Linked DNA regions of Rhinolophus ferrumequinum. The protein of the gene in region 3 interacts with the protein of the main gene of each other region in a pairwise test. Links are inferred from orthologs where the notes say so. Each region holds a gene or a part of one and is shown on either strand. Other genes may lie near its edges. The genes, in order: PFN2, PIAS1 and HTT.

Region 1 (5,192 bases), on a different chromosome or scaffold from region 3:
ACTTAATTTATACTGCTATTCCTTAAACTCAGTGTTTTCTACCTCTACTTATACTTTTTGAAACATCTTGTGGTAAGCAGTAGTTATATAAAATAGGAACAGATCTTTGTATACAAATAAAAAACAAAGCAGCATTCTAGGAAGCTGGTTCTAAAGAAAATCAGCACAGGATTTTTTATCATACTATTGAAAACGGAGATTCTCTTTGAACATATCATCTAAAAATCTAAACTATACAACCTAGTTAATCAATACACAGAATATATTTTTCATAGTTGTTTAAATTTCACTATATGCAGTTCTAGGAAATAACACTATGTTGGAAAAGTAAAACCATAATTGTAAAATGTATCATTACATTTTGAAAAATATAGAAAAATGACAGAAATTCTAAACTCTTATGTCTTACCCAACAGATGTATTTTAGAATCTTTTGAGATTTGAATATCCAGAATATTCAGTTAGTCTAATCTTTTTTCTGTTTAAAGACAATAAAATAATAATAGAATGCAGTTATTTCCACCTCTTTGATATTAAAAGTCTAGAAAGGAAATCTTAAAAATTTCAGAATAAATAAAACTAGATTTCAATATACTTTAAACTGTCAGTATTTTATTATTTCTCTTTCCTCTCATTATCTGTTTACTGTTCAAATTAATTGAATTATAGCATGCATACCAAAAGCACAAATCATAATTGTACAGCTTGATGAATCCTCACAAAGTGACCATATCCATGTTATCAGCACACTGTAACATGAACTTTTAAGGTGACAATCTGCTAAAATTAAAGCATTAAAACCATTAATAACCACTACAAAAAGGCGGTGTAGTAAAGAACAAGTGTAAGTAAACCAGGTAGGAGGCACACTTGCAAAATGTAAACAATTTTTTGCACACATTTTATTCTGCATAGGTATTCCAAATCATTGGATCATTGGCATAAAGTGCTAATCTGATAGGTTTCTGACTTGGGCCTTTCTACTGTGCTTTTCCCCACCTCTTGGCAGTAGATGTACATTTCAAACAAACAGCAGAAAAAATATAAAACTTCTGAACCAATTAGATTGCTTAGCAACGTTTTTGTCTTCTTTCCTGAGCTACCTCCGTTGTAATCCTCCTGTCACCAACTGTGACTTTACACAGTAACTTAAAAGTTGAAAATGAGCTTTTCGACGTTTTAAATGCTTTCGTTTCCTTCGATTGGCAGATCATCTTTGTTCACTTAAAATTGAAATTGTTGTAGGACGTCTTCTAATTCCTTGTCTAGTCATAGCGCTCAGAGGTTACTACAGATGATGCGAGATTCACAGGACTCTACCCATCGTTTACTTTGTAAATACAAGCCATTTTCAGATCTGGGTTCCGAAATTATTTTACTCTTCAAGAGCAGAAATATTGCTATGTTCATTCAGTGAACCTTTTCTTAGATTTTTTTTTTAATATATTTTCAGCGATTTCTTCAACCCACCAATAACTTTCCCAGTTAACAAAAATTAGTTTCCATAGCTCGCTATTTGTTCGGAATTTACGAGCAATTTAGCCACACGTGATTAGCAACATTACGGGGAGAGGCTTTCTTCCAATCAAAGAATACACAGAACGAGAGGCCCCTGGTACCCAAATGAGGCAACAATGAAAGGTCCGCAAAACTCAGAAACGTTCCTACGAGCCACCAACGCCTGCTCTGATTTCAGGATACCGGAGCGCGCCCGCTCGGCTGCCTTTATAGCCGAGGGACAGAGGGATCTAGGGAAGAGGGTCCCACTGGGGACGCCGGGACGAGCGTGAGCGACTCTATCACCAGCCACCCCCACCACAAACGGGAGTAAACGCTCCGCATCCCGTCACTGGGGCAACGCTGCAATCCGACACCCAGGCTCAAGATTCCGCATCCCGAGCCACGCAGAAGAGGCGCATCGCAGGCCGTCCGCGGGGACAGACAGCGCCGTCCCTGGGGGGCCTAATGCGATGGGGGACACGTCCTCTCCACCGGCCCGGGTCCGAGGCTCCGCCACCGGCAACTACTCGGCCGCGCCGGGGCCGGTTTCCCGCACGTGGCGGCCGTGACTACCGGAGCGGTATCCCTCCGCGCCCCCGCCTCAGCCTCCTTCTGCCTTCCCGGGACCCTCCGAGTCGGGGCACCGCGGAAGGATCGCACGCACGCGCGCGTACGTTCCGCCGTGACCGCGGAGAACGGGGAGCGCCGCGCTGAGGAGCAGCCGCCGCCACCGCCGCCGCCAGCACGGCCACTCCGCAGCCTCTCGCCGCTGGTTAGTCAGCCCGGTGGCTGCGGGCGGGCAGCCGGGCCGGGCGCCCTCCACAGCGTCTTCCTCGCCGCCGGCTCCGCGTCCTCCCACCGCAGCTCCTCGGGGAGGGGGGCGGTCGGTGCCTGCGCAGAGCCGCCTCCTCCCCGCCCCCGCCCCGCCTCCCCCCGCGCCGCCGCCACCCGCTCCCGCCGCCGCCGCTGCGCCTGCTGCTCCTCGCCGTACCCGCTGCAGTGCGAAGGGCTCGAAGATGGCCGGTTGGCAGAGCTACGTGGATAACCTGATGTGCGATGGCTGCTGCCAGGAGGCCGCCATTGTCGGCTACTGCGACGCCAAATACGTGTGGGCAGCCACGGCCGGGGGCGTCTTCCAGAGCATTACGGTGAGGACCGGCCGCGGCGCGGGTACCGGAGCCCCGACCTGAGTGGTGCCGGCCGGCCGTGGGGGCGCCGCAGCGCGGGCCCGGGGCACGGAGGGCCGCGCGGGCAGGTGTGCGAGGCGGCCGGCGCCGAGGATGCGGCTGCCGGGCGGGCGGGGAGGCCGAGGCCCGGGGACGCCCCCTCGCCAGGGGCTGCACTGACAGGCGGGGGCGGCGGCCCGGCTCCCCGCGTTCCCAGTGCGGGTGCGGGTGAAGCTGGGGGAGGGAGCGCGCACCGGCCGGAGCGGGGGTGGGGGTCGCCTTTTTTGCCCTCGTGCGTCTCCCTCAGGTACCCGGGAAGCCTGCGGTTTGCTTTGCACGTCCCGGGGTGGAAGCGGGGGCCTGGGGGGCCGGGCCGGGGCGCACGGGGCCGGGGCGAGGGTCCTCTCGCGGCCGGGCCACCCTTCGCGCCGCGGACAGCGCGCCGCCCGCGCCGCGGGCTGTGGGAGGTGGCGGCTGCCCGGCCCCCGGGATCCTCGCGGCGACTTTGCGTAGGTTTGCCGGTGGCCAGGCCTCTGGGGCTTGAGGGAAATGTACGCCCACAACGTAGGTGGATTCGTGAATCTGGACTTCAGCTCTGCCTCCATAGGATTTTTTTTTTTTAATTCTCCAAGATGGCGAACTGCCATTGATTTCTCTCCTCCTATGGAGATTCATCGATATACCGTTATCCCCAATTACGCAACATAGCTCCAAAAAAGGGGGTGCTTTTATGGGGCTTTCAGTAATCTTGAGGACCGAGGGGACACCTCACTTCTTCTCCAAGTCTCTTGGAGTCCCTTGAAGAGGGAGCTCTTTAGTGATGATAGTAAGGAACTAGTGCAGATTTGTGCTTCCCAGTGCCTGATTTTGTGACTTGATGGTTTTGACTCGGTTGCCACATGTGGAGAATAATTGTCACTGAGCCTCCGGTGCTGCTTTATTGTTTTGCTTCTTTCTGCACAAGGCTCTTTCTAAAATTGTGACAATTGTATCACATCTAGGGCCAGTCTCTTAATTTTTTAGTCTCATGCCCCCTTCCCATCAAACGCTAAAATCAGGCCCCCTATTACGGGTGCTACTAATTATTCTTGTACTACTTGACATGGTTTAAGATCTAACCGGGTAGAACTCAGTCCTTGATGCTCGCACGTGAAGGGCTCCCTTCACCGCAGTGGACTACAATTCTTCCCGGGAATTGGTATCTGGCGATCAACTTTCTTCTCTGCAGTCCTCCTGTCTTTGTGTGTGAGTTCCCGCTGTCTGGCTGGGAAGATTGCGGGAGTGTGCTTGGAAATGGCTGGGGCCTGCTATGACTCTGCAGTTCTGATGGGGGCGACGCCTTCCTTCTTATTCATGGAATGTTAGCATGCACGTTTTCTCCTTTCCGGTTCTGGTGGCTACCTCAGTTTCTTTCCAAATCCCCCTCCATTTTCTCTGTTCTTTTACCATTGCCTAATGCAGTGCTACAGACAGAATCCTCTTTTCATTTGCCCAGAAGGAAAACTGATTACTGAGGTGGGAGGGGAAGATAAGTGGGAGAGAAAAAGGAGTAGTGGCTACAAAAATAGGAGGGAAATATGAATGTGGGAATGCGCTGAGGTCTCGAGTTTGAAGTTCGTACTGTGGGGGAGGGGAGATGTCAAGCTATTTGAAGCAGAGTCGAAGTGAACAGACCGGCTAAGCTTGGGCTTTATTTCAGGAGACTTTCAAGCAAGTTTAAGTTTGATGCAACGTGACTGACTGTAATGTAACTGAATATGATAGACAAGCTGTTGCTGAAAGTTTATAGGTGAATCTTTACCATTACATAAGTACTTCAGGTCCCACCTGACTTGATACAGTTTATAAATAAGTTTGTAGTTTATCTAGTGTCAGCTACCAACTGTTCATAGATTCTTTTCATAGACTAGTCTTTAATTAGTAGACTACACGGTTAACTGAAATCTAATTAATATAAAACATGTAATCATGTAGGATTAAGTAATTCTTTAAAAGACTGAAACTTGATTTTACATTAGTGAAATGTGGATGTCTCGTACTGGTAGTACAAACTTGGCATACAGTCTTTCCTGTTATATCAAGGCCTGAAAGGAATTAACTATACCTTCATGTTTTTTCCCCTTTTCTTTTTTTTTTTTTTTTTTGTGGGGGGGCAGCCAGTAGAAATAGATATGATTGTAGGAAAAGACCGAGAAGGTTTCTTTACCAACGGTTTGACTCTTGGCGCAAAGAAGTGCTCCGTGATCAGAGATAGCCTATACGTCGATGGGGACTGCACAATGGACATCCGGACAAAGAGTCAAGGTGGGGAGCCAACATACAACGTTGCTGTGGGCAGAGCTGGTAGAGGTAAGCAAGGTACTTTTTTGGTTCAAAGTTGCATGCTACATTACAACTCATTAAGCGGTTTCTTTAACATTTGGAATAAAAGTGTTAGTCCATAATGGCGATTAAGGTGGTTTTCGTGAACTGCCCAGCACTGAAGTGAGGTACTGCGTTAGATTTACTGCATACACAGCCTAGTCT
Region 2 (5,192 bases), on a different chromosome or scaffold from region 3:
TTGTCCGGCTAGGTCTTATTTTCGGGGAAACATGGTAGGAATAAATGCTATTCACCTTCAAAAACCACTAATAAAAAAACCATCAGAAAATATAATTTCCAAAAAGACTATCTTCCAAAGCTTACTGTACAGAAAATTATATACACACATTCTAAAATAACTATGGTAGGCGTTCCTAAGATCATCTCACCCTCCAAAAATAAGAATAGCAAATCTATCCACAATCAAGTAGTAACAAAAATTTTAATACAGCTCACTAGTTAAGCAATTTATCACAGCTCCTCAAAGAATTGGGCACATGCAATGACAGACCAGTACGTCAAAACAGTTATATAATTTGAAAAAACTGTACAACGGGAACATAAAAGTAGAAAACAACTCCTCTGGAAAAACTCAAGTAGATTTTGGAGAGAGCGAAAAAGAACAATTTTAGAAAAATGTTTCCCCCAACTGTTTAGCGTTTATCTGATACAGGCTCATTTTTGTAAAGAGAAACTTTACCTAACAAGACTCACACCAGGGATCTGATCTATCCCCAAAGGCAGTTTCTTAAAATGAGAAAGAACAAAGGAGGAAATCTCCCAGCATGTGCTTTCCATACCAGTTTCTGTGGACAGCATCAAGAATGACAATATAGCCAGCACAAGCTTTTCAGCTTTACTGTGTGGTCCATGTATACCAGAATTGATTAGCTACAATTCGAAAGGATTTCTACAAAATAAATATTATCAGGCAAAGATCACATAGTGACTCTTTTTAAGAGTAAAACTACAGAAAACATGTATCTTAAAGTTGTGTAGTACTCTTTATTTCAAGAGTTAATTACCTCCAAATATTCTAATTCCTGAGGCTTTTTCATTTCAGCCAATAGTTTGAAAATGGAAAAAAAACGAAAACTAACCATTCTAAATCTGCTCTCGCTCAAATTAATTTGTAATTAGCAGTAAATGAAAAAAGAATAGCAGTCAAAGACAGTGCCTTAATATACAAATTTTGGAACGTTAACATAAATGTTCACATTGGGCGAAACGATCTTTCTGCGAAGCTTTCCACAGAAAAACTCTGCAGGAACAAACCTGGTGTTTGGTTGCTGTAGAAGTTGTCGTTACATTATAACGGAGAAAACTGTTTAAATGATTTTTATTAATTATAAAAACAGGACCCCCTCAAAGATTTACAACTATATATCCCAATCTCCACTGATAGAGATGTCAGTTCTCTGGGTCAGGATATAACCAGCTGCTTGGTTCACACACAAGGAAGCCACAGAGAAGGAAGATCGCGTTCAGAGCCTTGAAATAATACGCGTTAGTTAAAAACTGCCTGCTACTAAACCAAAATTATTCAAGCGGAGCCCCATTTGTCACAATCCAATCATAAGGGTTCCACCCCCCTCCCCCAACTGCTTGTGTAGTGGTATACTTGCTTCGGTAAAGAAGCCATCATCAGGTAAAGAAGATTGGGGTGGGAGAAAGAGCGGGGAAAAGGGGGGCACCCTTTCATCCAATTTCGCGAGGCGTGAGTAATTGGTACAGTTGAGAGGAACGGAGGAACGTTCTATTTATTGGGGGTTGAAGTAGGATGAGGGAAGAATTTCGTTCAAATCAATATGGCCAGCAAGATGTCCCTACAAACAAAAGGCAACGGGGGGATATAAACACGAACCATTCACCTCCATCAGCTATAGCATCGCCATCATGGTGTGTGCACAGACCCCCAAAGGGCCCTCTCACCCTCCACACCAGCCAAAGGAAGAGAGGATAAAGAAGAGAGAGGTACTTCCCACCACCCACTACTGCTTCCAAAGAGGGGGTTTCTCCCCCCGGTTGCCCAAAATCAGAGAGAGAGTAACGTCCCGCCCAGGCAGACTCCCCCGCTATCCCTCAACTGAACCCCAACACCGGCCCGGAGCTCACTAAACTTTACTGGAGCTTCTCCCCACATCCCCACCCCATCGCCCCAGGATCGCGCTGCCCACCAGCGGGCCACCTCGGGCGCCTCCTGACAGGCGGGCAGCTGGGGAAAGCCAAGTCCCGGGCGGGGGCGGCAGGGAGCAATGGAGGGGCGGGGCGGCCGGAGCCAAGTTCCCGGGGGTCTGAGGAAGAGCGCCTGACAGGAGCCCGGGAGTGCAAAGGAGGAAGAGGAAGCGGCGGCGGGGAGCTTTCCCAATCCCCCCTACATGTACACCCTGTCCTAGCCCCCGCTCCCCATGGGGGGCGGGGAGGCTGACTGGACGCGGAGGAAGCCGAGCCCCAGGGGTAGCCGCAGCCCCCACCTCCCGACTCCGGATCTCTTCCCTCACCACCCCCACCAGAGGCGCCCACAACAATAACACGCCGGGGACGACCCGTCAGCGCCCCCGAGGCACCCGGGGCCCGCGGCCCGCCGCTGCCGGGCTCCCTCAGCTGAGGCCTGGTGCGCCGCTCCTCCCTACAACTCCAGACCCGGGTGGAGTCAGGCTCAAGCGGCCCCCCAGGGTCGGACCCATCCCCCCTGGCACCAGCGGCGCCGTCTCCGCGGCCAAATATTAGAAGTGAATTCGAGCTGCGCTTTACCTTTAGTTCCGCACTGTCCGCCATCTTGCGTCTGTCAGCGCAAGCGCACTGAACCTCGCCAGGGGCCGTCGCTAGACCCGCCCATCTAGCCAGCCTGGCCCCGCCTAGGCCCGGCCCCTCTCGCCCCTCCACCTCCCCGGCCCGCCCCCGGCCTCCTCCTCACTTCTGGAGCTCAGAGCCCCGCCCCTGGCACGTACAGCTGCGAAACGGACACGTACTATTTAAATAATGGCGCCAAGCAGGGAGATTTGACAGTTACTCCCCCCTCGGCCTCCCCAACCCCCATCCTAGCCTGGCTAGCGCCTCCAAGAGAAAGGCCGTAACGAGAGGGCTGCTGGCCTGAGTCCCGCCCTCCGCAGCTTGAGTATCCCTTCAGCAAAGCTTCGATGGCTACTGTCACATGAAACAATAATGTCCCCCTCCCCCAATCAGCAAGTCCTTTTCAGCACCTGCTACCTACGACACTACGTGTAGACTTAAAAAAACAATCCCTTACGTTTAAAGATCACTTGGTGAAGGCATTTCCAGGTTTATTAGCTCAGATCCTCATGACAATCCAGTAAGGTAGGCAGGGAAGAGTTTACAATTCCCGTGATACATATTCAGAAATGAGAGCTCAGAGAAGAAAAGTAACCTGCCCAAGCAAGCACTTAACTGGGGTGGCCTAAGACAAAATTCTGAAGATGTTAATTCATTAACTTCTTTGTGTCAGCAAGTCCTTAATTAGTGACCATGTTCCGGCCCAGTTTCTAAAGTCTATATATACATTGGGAAATTAAATACAACAGAGTCCCTGCCCACCTGTAGTTTTCAAATCAGGGAACAGACAACCAATAATGATACAATTACAACTGGTGATGAGTACCAGAAAAGAGTAAATGGTCTAGGGAGAGGAAAAGGGGTCAGGAGGAGCTGTATTTAATCCTGAAAGGGCTTCCTCCACTAAATTAACATTTAAGTAGACATGATGAAAGAATATTTCACACCTTTTCCTCTCTATTGAAAACTTCCTATACCTTCTCCCCAACCCTCACTTTTTGCTGCTCAACTTTGCCTCACATCTCAGCAAAAAAAGAAAGAAAAAAACTCCCTTATCTTTTCACCATAGAAAACTACTCTTACAGGCATTGGTAACATTTGGGTTACCATGAATGAAGTGTTCCTGTGCCTGTAAAGGCCAGTCCATCCACCAGTGACCTGGATTCCTTTCACTCCCGCATTCCTAAAGATTTTATTCCTCCAATTACCTCACCCTCCAGCATCATTATTTCCCCACTCTCTGACAGATTACTCCTATCAGTATATAAACATACTGAAGTACCTCCCATCTAAAACAAACCTCTGTCGACTCCAAAGTTGCCTCCAGAACTGCCCTATTTCTCTGCTCTCTTCAGTGCATAAATTCTCAGAAAAGTTTTTCAAGCTCTCTCTACTGTGCTGTTTCCACTTCCTCACTTGACGTTCACTCCTCAGCCTACTCTGATCCAGGTTTGACTTCCCTCAAGATCACTTATCTAGATTACTAATGATCTCCCTGTTTCCAAAGCCTACAGCCAATTCTCTATTCTTATCTAAATTGACCTCTCAGCAGAATTGCAAGCAAGTGACAAGTTTCCTTTCGTGTTTATTTATTTATTTTTATTTGTTTTATTTATTTATTTATTTAGTTAGTTTCAGGTGTGCAAAACAATGTAATAATTAGACATTTACACCCTTACAAAATGATAAGAATGAAATCTCACCATTTGCAACGATAGGCATGGACCTAGAGAACATTTTACTAAGTGAAATAAATCAGAAGGAGAAAGACAAATACCACATGATTTCACTTACATGTGGAATCTAAAGAATAGACTAAATGAGCAAACTAAGCTTCCTTTCTTTTGAAACCCTTTTTCCCCTGAACTTCCCTCAATATCTCACCATCGAGACTTTCCTGTTACCTCAATGGGACTCCTTTTCAAAATCCTTTGATTTCTCCCCTTTGGCTTAATCTTTAAATGGTAAGATTAAGATTAATCTTTAAATGGTAAGGCTGTGTTCCAGGGCTCAGTCCTTCTTTTCTCTGTTTTACTCTCCCCAGGTGATGTCCTCCAACTCCTTGACTTTAAGTCTATAAACTAATGATTTTCAAATTGCTGTCCAGCCCAGACCTCTCCAACAAAACCCAGATTCACAAATCCAACTAGCTACTTAATATATCTACTTCATGACTCATAGTCATCTCAAACTCATGTCAAAGACAGCCTTGATTTTTATCCCCAATCCTGCTTCTTTCCCAGTATTCTCAGTTGATGGCACCATCATTCACCCAGTTGTTCAAACCAAAAATCTGGAAATCATCCTTGGTTCCTCTCTTTCATTCACTTCTCACATCCAATCCATTAGCCAGTCCAGATGACTGTGCCTCTAAAATACATTCCAAGCCTTTCCACTTCACTGGATCTCCACTATCACCACCTACTCCAAACTGCCATAATTGCACAAAGGAACTGCTGAGAAGGCTACTCAAATGACAGGACCATATTAAGATTTCTGTGGCCTTAGGCCTTTTTGCCTTCTAGAGATTGTGGCATAATAAAAAATCTAATCAACTTTGTTCCTGGTTCCAGACACAGAGCTCCTAAAACACTTGAA
Region 3 (5,192 bases):
AGCGTGCTTCGTGCCCACGTGTAAGCCAAGTGACGGGACCAGGGCGGGCAAGACTGAAGCCTCATCTTTTGTAAGCTAATCCAGGAGGGCCATCTTTCCTTTTGTTGGGTAGAAGGAAGCCGCCAGGGGACAGCCCACACTCTGGGAGGGCACTATGAAGGGCGTGAACACCAGGAGGGGGCCACTGGGCTGTCTTAGAACTTGGCTACCAGCACCTGACAGCTCTCGGCCAACACCATCTGGCCTGTCCAGCCTGCGGTTCGGTAAGTGGCCTGGCACACGGACAAGGTCCTTTATTAACAAACATCACGGAACTGGGACCTCAAGGGTGGTGCATGTGGTGTTCCCCTGAAGGAGAGCTGTTGCTGTGCCCTTGGGGACAATACTGCCCGTGGTGGTGGTGGGTTTCCTGTTCCCTGACCATTTGGGACAACGGACGCTCTGACAGAGGGTGGAGATGTGGCTGGTGGCACAGATAGGGCACTGCTCCGAGTGGGCTCCTGCTGCATGCATTGCCTCCCCCAGGCGGCCCTCTCGGAGGCCAGCGCAGTCCCTGCCCGCCCCCCCCCCCAGTTGCTCACCTGCCTCCCCTTGAGGTGGTGAGGCCCTGGAGCACCGACCCTTCCGTGCAGCCTGCTGCGGCCCAGGCAGAGGTGCCCACAGACCTGTGGGACAGGGGTCCTCTTCGCTGGAGGGCAGTCATTCCTGCGGTGGGGAGGACTGCTTCCCGCTGCACAGCCATCGTCTCTGTGGGCAGCAGACACTGACCTGACCGTGCTAAGCCTCTTCTCCCCTGCCCTCAGGCTGCAGACTCTGGGAGGCGCCTGCCGGCTGGCTGCCGACCCCCAGGGGTTCCCTCTCCTCTCTGGGGGCCACACCCAGGCTCTCCTCCCGCCGAGACCATTCCTGCAGGTCTCCGCCGACCTACCCGACCCCAGCTCTGCGAAGGACGCACTCACTTCTCCGTGCTCCTCACAGAAAGAGCCCCGACTACTCACGTCAGAGCAGTCCGGCGACCCGCCCCTCAGTCCCGGCCACGGGTGGGCAGGGGCGCCCCCTGGTGTCTCTCGCCCAAGCCCAGGCGGAGCTCCTGCCAGGATGAGCGGGGCGTGACCGGTATCCCCTCCCCTTCCCGCCACTCAATGCCGTGCCCCGCCCCCCACCGCCACGTCCCGCCCTCATAGCGCCCCGCCCCGCCTCCCACCTCCGTGCCCCGCCCCTCACGGCCAGGTCCTGTCCTCAGCACTGTACCCCGCCCATCACCGCCACGCCACGCCCCTCATCGCCACACACCGCGTGCCGCCCCAGTCCCGCCCTCTGTAGTGACTCGCCCCTCAGCGCCAGGTCCCGCCCACACTGCCGCGCCCCGCCCCTCCGTGTACCGCGCCCTCGCAGGGGAGGGGCGCGATTATCTCAGTGGCTGCGTCAGCTCTGGGAGGTGATCTAGTGGGCTCGAGGGAGGGCGGGCTAGCACTTCGTTTGGTCATTGGCAGAGGCCGCCGCCTGGGCTGTCAATCCCGGCGGCCCGGTCTGGCCCCGCCCCGCAGGCGGAACGCCGCAGGACGCAGGGCCGCGGGGGCTGCTGGGAAGGGTTCAAGATGGCCGGGCGTTTCGGTTCTTCTACAGCCTGCGGCCCCGAACCCCATTCATTGCCGCGCTGCTGAGCGGCGCCGCGAGCCGGCCCTTGGGCTTCGGGGGCGGTCTCCGCGGAGCGGGTTGCCGCCATGGCGACCCTGGAAAAGCTGATGAAGGCCTTTGAGTCCCTCAAGTCCTTCCAGCAGCAGCAGCAGCAGCCCCCGCCGCCGCCGCCGCCTCAGCCTCCTCAGCCGCCGCCGCAGGCTCACCCGCCGCCGCCGCCTCAGCCTCAGCCACCTCCTCCCACACTGCCGCCCGGCCCGGCCGTGGCCGAGGAGCCGCTGCACCGACCGTGAGTGCGGGCCCGCTGCATCTCCCCCTGCACCCCGGGCCCCGCGGCGACGGGGCCACCCCGCGCACGGCTCCACTGCCTTGCCTGCCGCGGCATCTCGTCCCGGCATCTCGCGTGGGCCTCAGTGCCTTCGCGCGTGCAGGCACAGCCTCTCCAGAAGGCGCCGAGGCGGCCACGGTTGTTTTTCAGCGTGCCAAGTTAGGGGGGAACTTACTGCTCTGTATTGCAAAGGGCCGGGCTGCGTGGGTAGCAGAACTTGGCGGCGCCCTGAGCGCGTCGCATCTGGCTCCCCCGGGCCACTTCCGCTCCCTCTCCTAGTCTGAGAGGGAGCAGGGCTGGGGGCGCAGGGCGCTGCGCGGGGAGCTGGGAGCTGGAGCGCTGTGGGCACAGTGCATGACGTCATGCCCTAGACTGGGAGGGCGGGCCAGTGCGGCGCCGTCTGTGGGAGATTCTTTTTGCCAGGGGCCCTTGAGACAGCTTGTGTGACTTAAGGCTGTACTGCCACATTCTCGAGACATTCCCCTTAGTCCGGGAATCGCAGTGGTAATCACAGGATTTTAAGCATCAGTAAGAGGCCTGCTTGTCCAAGCTCAAGTTTGGTCTGCACGCATTTGACCGAGTTGTGGTTGCCAAGTAAGTGGTGACCATACGTAGATGGTTATGATTGCTAACGAGTGAGAAGTAATAGAATTGACTTAAGTATTAAGAGTTGACTGAAGTTTACGGCCTGTTTTCACTTGGAAATAAAAACGACACACTGCTGAGGGAGAGAAGTTCATCGTGGGGCGCGGTGACTGATGTGCGTTTTACTGGTGGTGTCGTCCAGCCTGCTGGACAGAGCGTGGGTGTCAGCGCACCCCACGGACGTCTCCTGTTCCCTTCATTGCCGGCATCCTGATACTGCTTTCATAATAGGGATCTCTGTTGCTTGTGCCCGGGACAGTTTTTGAAACAGGAAAAGGGAGACCACTAATGGCACCCTCTAACAGAACCCAAGTATTGTTCCCTGAAGTCTTCCTGTGCTGTGTGTTGAGCAGAGTTTAGGGGGTGCTTTGCTGCAGTTCAGGCCTGTCTCAGCTCGGGGCATTAGACTTCTGATCTGAAGATGTGTAAGATGGTATTTAATGGGGACACTTTCCAAGAAGCAGCCCCTTTAAGGAGCTTGCTCTTTTAAGGCTGATTCACTCTTAGTAATGTTTTCTTGTTCTTTATGTTTCTGACATAATTCTTGCTGTGTCCTAATAGTTTAATTGGAAAATGAGGACTTGGGGAGTAATGGTGGCTTATCTGTTAGAATAAAATTTAGAAGAAATAAATTATTTTTCCTTCTAAGATGTGAAAAACCTGTTTGCATATTTAGAGAGAAAAAATTTTTTTTAAACAATTTGACTTTATCTCTAGAGCAAGTAATTTGTAATCATAACCCATTCGAGACTTATTGTATGTAATGTCTCTCCAGGAAGTGAATGTCACAGACGTTTCCACGTGTGTAAACAAGGGAAACACTAAGGGGGTCTCTGCAAGGTTTACTGCCACCTGGTGACTCCTCCACTCCGTCAATCTAAAAACCTGCCTCTGTTTCTTATGCTGACTTGTCAGAACCTGAATTTGCTTATCTTCAAAATATGGGTATACAGAGGTTTCCTTGTAAAGCCGACTTGACAAAAGTAGATTTTGTTTCATTACTTTCAGGAAAGTATGATTGACTTATTTGAATAATTTTATCTATTATTTTTGCATAAGTAATACATTCCAAAAGGTAAAAATTAAAATTCTCTCTCCCACTCCTTTCTCCTGAGGGCCTAATTCCGTCCCCGGAGGCAAGCACGGTTTTACTTCCTTCTTGTGAATCCTTCCAGATATAATCTATGCATATATGAAGATAGATTTTAAATTACTTAAAAGCAAAAGTATTTCAGAAGAGTAGCTTTGAAAGGTTCTTAGCATGCTCTGAAGTCAGTTGCTTTAGGCTTGATTATAGTTTTTTTTTTTTTGAACAGGACTTTATTGGGGAACAGTGTGTACTTCCAGGACTTTTTTTTTTTTTTTTCCCCACGTCAAGTTGTTGTCCTTTCAGTCTTAGTTGTGGAGGGTACAGCTCAGCTCCAGGTCCAGTTGCCATTGCTAGTTGCAGGGGCCGCAGCCCACCATCCCTTGCAGGAGTCGAACCGGCAAACTTGTGGTTGAGAGGACGCGCTCCAACCAACTGAGCCATCCGGGAGCTCTGCAGCAGCTCAGCTCAAGGTGCCCTGTTCAATCTTAGTTGCAGGGGGCGCTGCCTACCATCCCTTGCGGGATTGGAGGAATTGAACTGGCAACCTTGTGGTTGAGAGTCCACTGGCCCATGTGGGAATTGAACCAGCAGCCTTCGGAGTTAGGAGCATGGAGCTCTAACCGCCTGAGCTACTGGTCCGGCCCTTGATTATAGTTATTTTAAATAAAATGCATAAATATATTTTATGTACTTTGCTATTGAGAAAGCAGGTATTCGTAAATTTTGAGTAAACAACTCACTGCTTACAATTTGAATCTTGGCATTCAGATGCTTCAGCTGAAAAATCCATTCCCCACAGTAAGTTTGGCCAAAAGCAATTGAGAAAGTACCTGTTCTATTTTTATGGCTCTTGCTGTCTGTGGTGTGGAACTTTAGTGTCACAGCCATGGGTGGGCTTCAGCTGAAGTATCTGAGTGCCTGTTCTCTGACTCAGCATATAGGATGCAGGGGTCCTGGGTGGGCCTGCCGTGCAGGGAGTGCCAAAGCGTGGGAGAGTCCTCGACTGCAATTATGAAGCAGTTGACATTTGCCTTTGGCACTTTCTCATTCAGATTCCCGCCAGTTTTCCCTTGACTTTAATTATTCACTCATCAGTAAGTATTTACTGACATCTAATGTGTGCCAGGCACTGTTCTGATAGGTGCAGGGCTACAGCAGGGAACAGATAAAGCTTCATTTTAGTGAGGGATGTAGACAATAAACAAGTTAGATCAGTAAAACATACAGTGTGCTAGATAGTGACAAATGAAGGAGGAGCAGCGGAGGAGGGAAGGGAACTAGGAAATGCCTGGGATAATAAGGTGTTGCCATTCTAGATAGGGCCCAGGAAGATCTGCTGAGATGGTGGCTTTGGGGTGAGCACCTGAAGTGAGCCCAGGATATAGCCATGAGGGTGTGGAGGAGGGGCATTCCAGGCGGGAGGCAGGTTCATAGCCCCCCTGTCTGAGGCATAGCAAGGAGGTCAGTATGGCTGGTAGAATTAGTGAGAGG

Evidence for each region.
Region 1: the proteins of HTT (region 3) and PFN2 interact in binary tests that used the Homo sapiens proteins (3 or more experiments, as listed by UniProt). The link is inferred for Rhinolophus ferrumequinum from reciprocal best matches to the Homo sapiens genes HTT and PFN2.
Region 2: the proteins of HTT (region 3) and PIAS1 interact in binary tests that used the Homo sapiens proteins (3 or more experiments, as listed by UniProt). The link is inferred for Rhinolophus ferrumequinum from reciprocal best matches to the Homo sapiens genes HTT and PIAS1.

The regions. Positions count from the first base shown.
Region 1 is NC_046285.1:9,037,311-9,042,502, reverse strand, and holds the start of PFN2 (profilin-2), read left to right. Parts: upstream 1-1,598; 5' UTR 1,599-2,516; coding exon 2,517-2,648; intron 2,649-4,822; coding exon 4,823-5,015; intron 5,016-5,192. UniProt on the Homo sapiens protein: Binds to actin and affects the structure of the cytoskeleton. At high concentrations, profilin prevents the polymerization of actin, whereas it enhances it at low concentrations. By binding to PIP2, it inhibits the formation of IP3 and DG.
Region 2 is NC_046289.1:43,261,579-43,266,770, forward strand, and holds the start of PIAS1 (E3 SUMO-protein ligase PIAS1), read right to left. Parts: upstream 2,668-5,192; 5' UTR 2,580-2,667; coding exon 2,556-2,579; intron 1-2,555. UniProt on the Homo sapiens protein: Functions as an E3-type small ubiquitin-like modifier (SUMO) ligase, stabilizing the interaction between UBE2I and the substrate, and as a SUMO-tethering factor. Catalyzes sumoylation of various proteins, such as CEBPB, MRE11, MTA1, PTK2 and PML.
Region 3 is NC_046288.1:86,319,032-86,324,223, reverse strand, and holds the start of HTT (huntingtin), read left to right. Parts: upstream 1-1,724; coding exon 1,725-1,927; intron 1,928-5,192.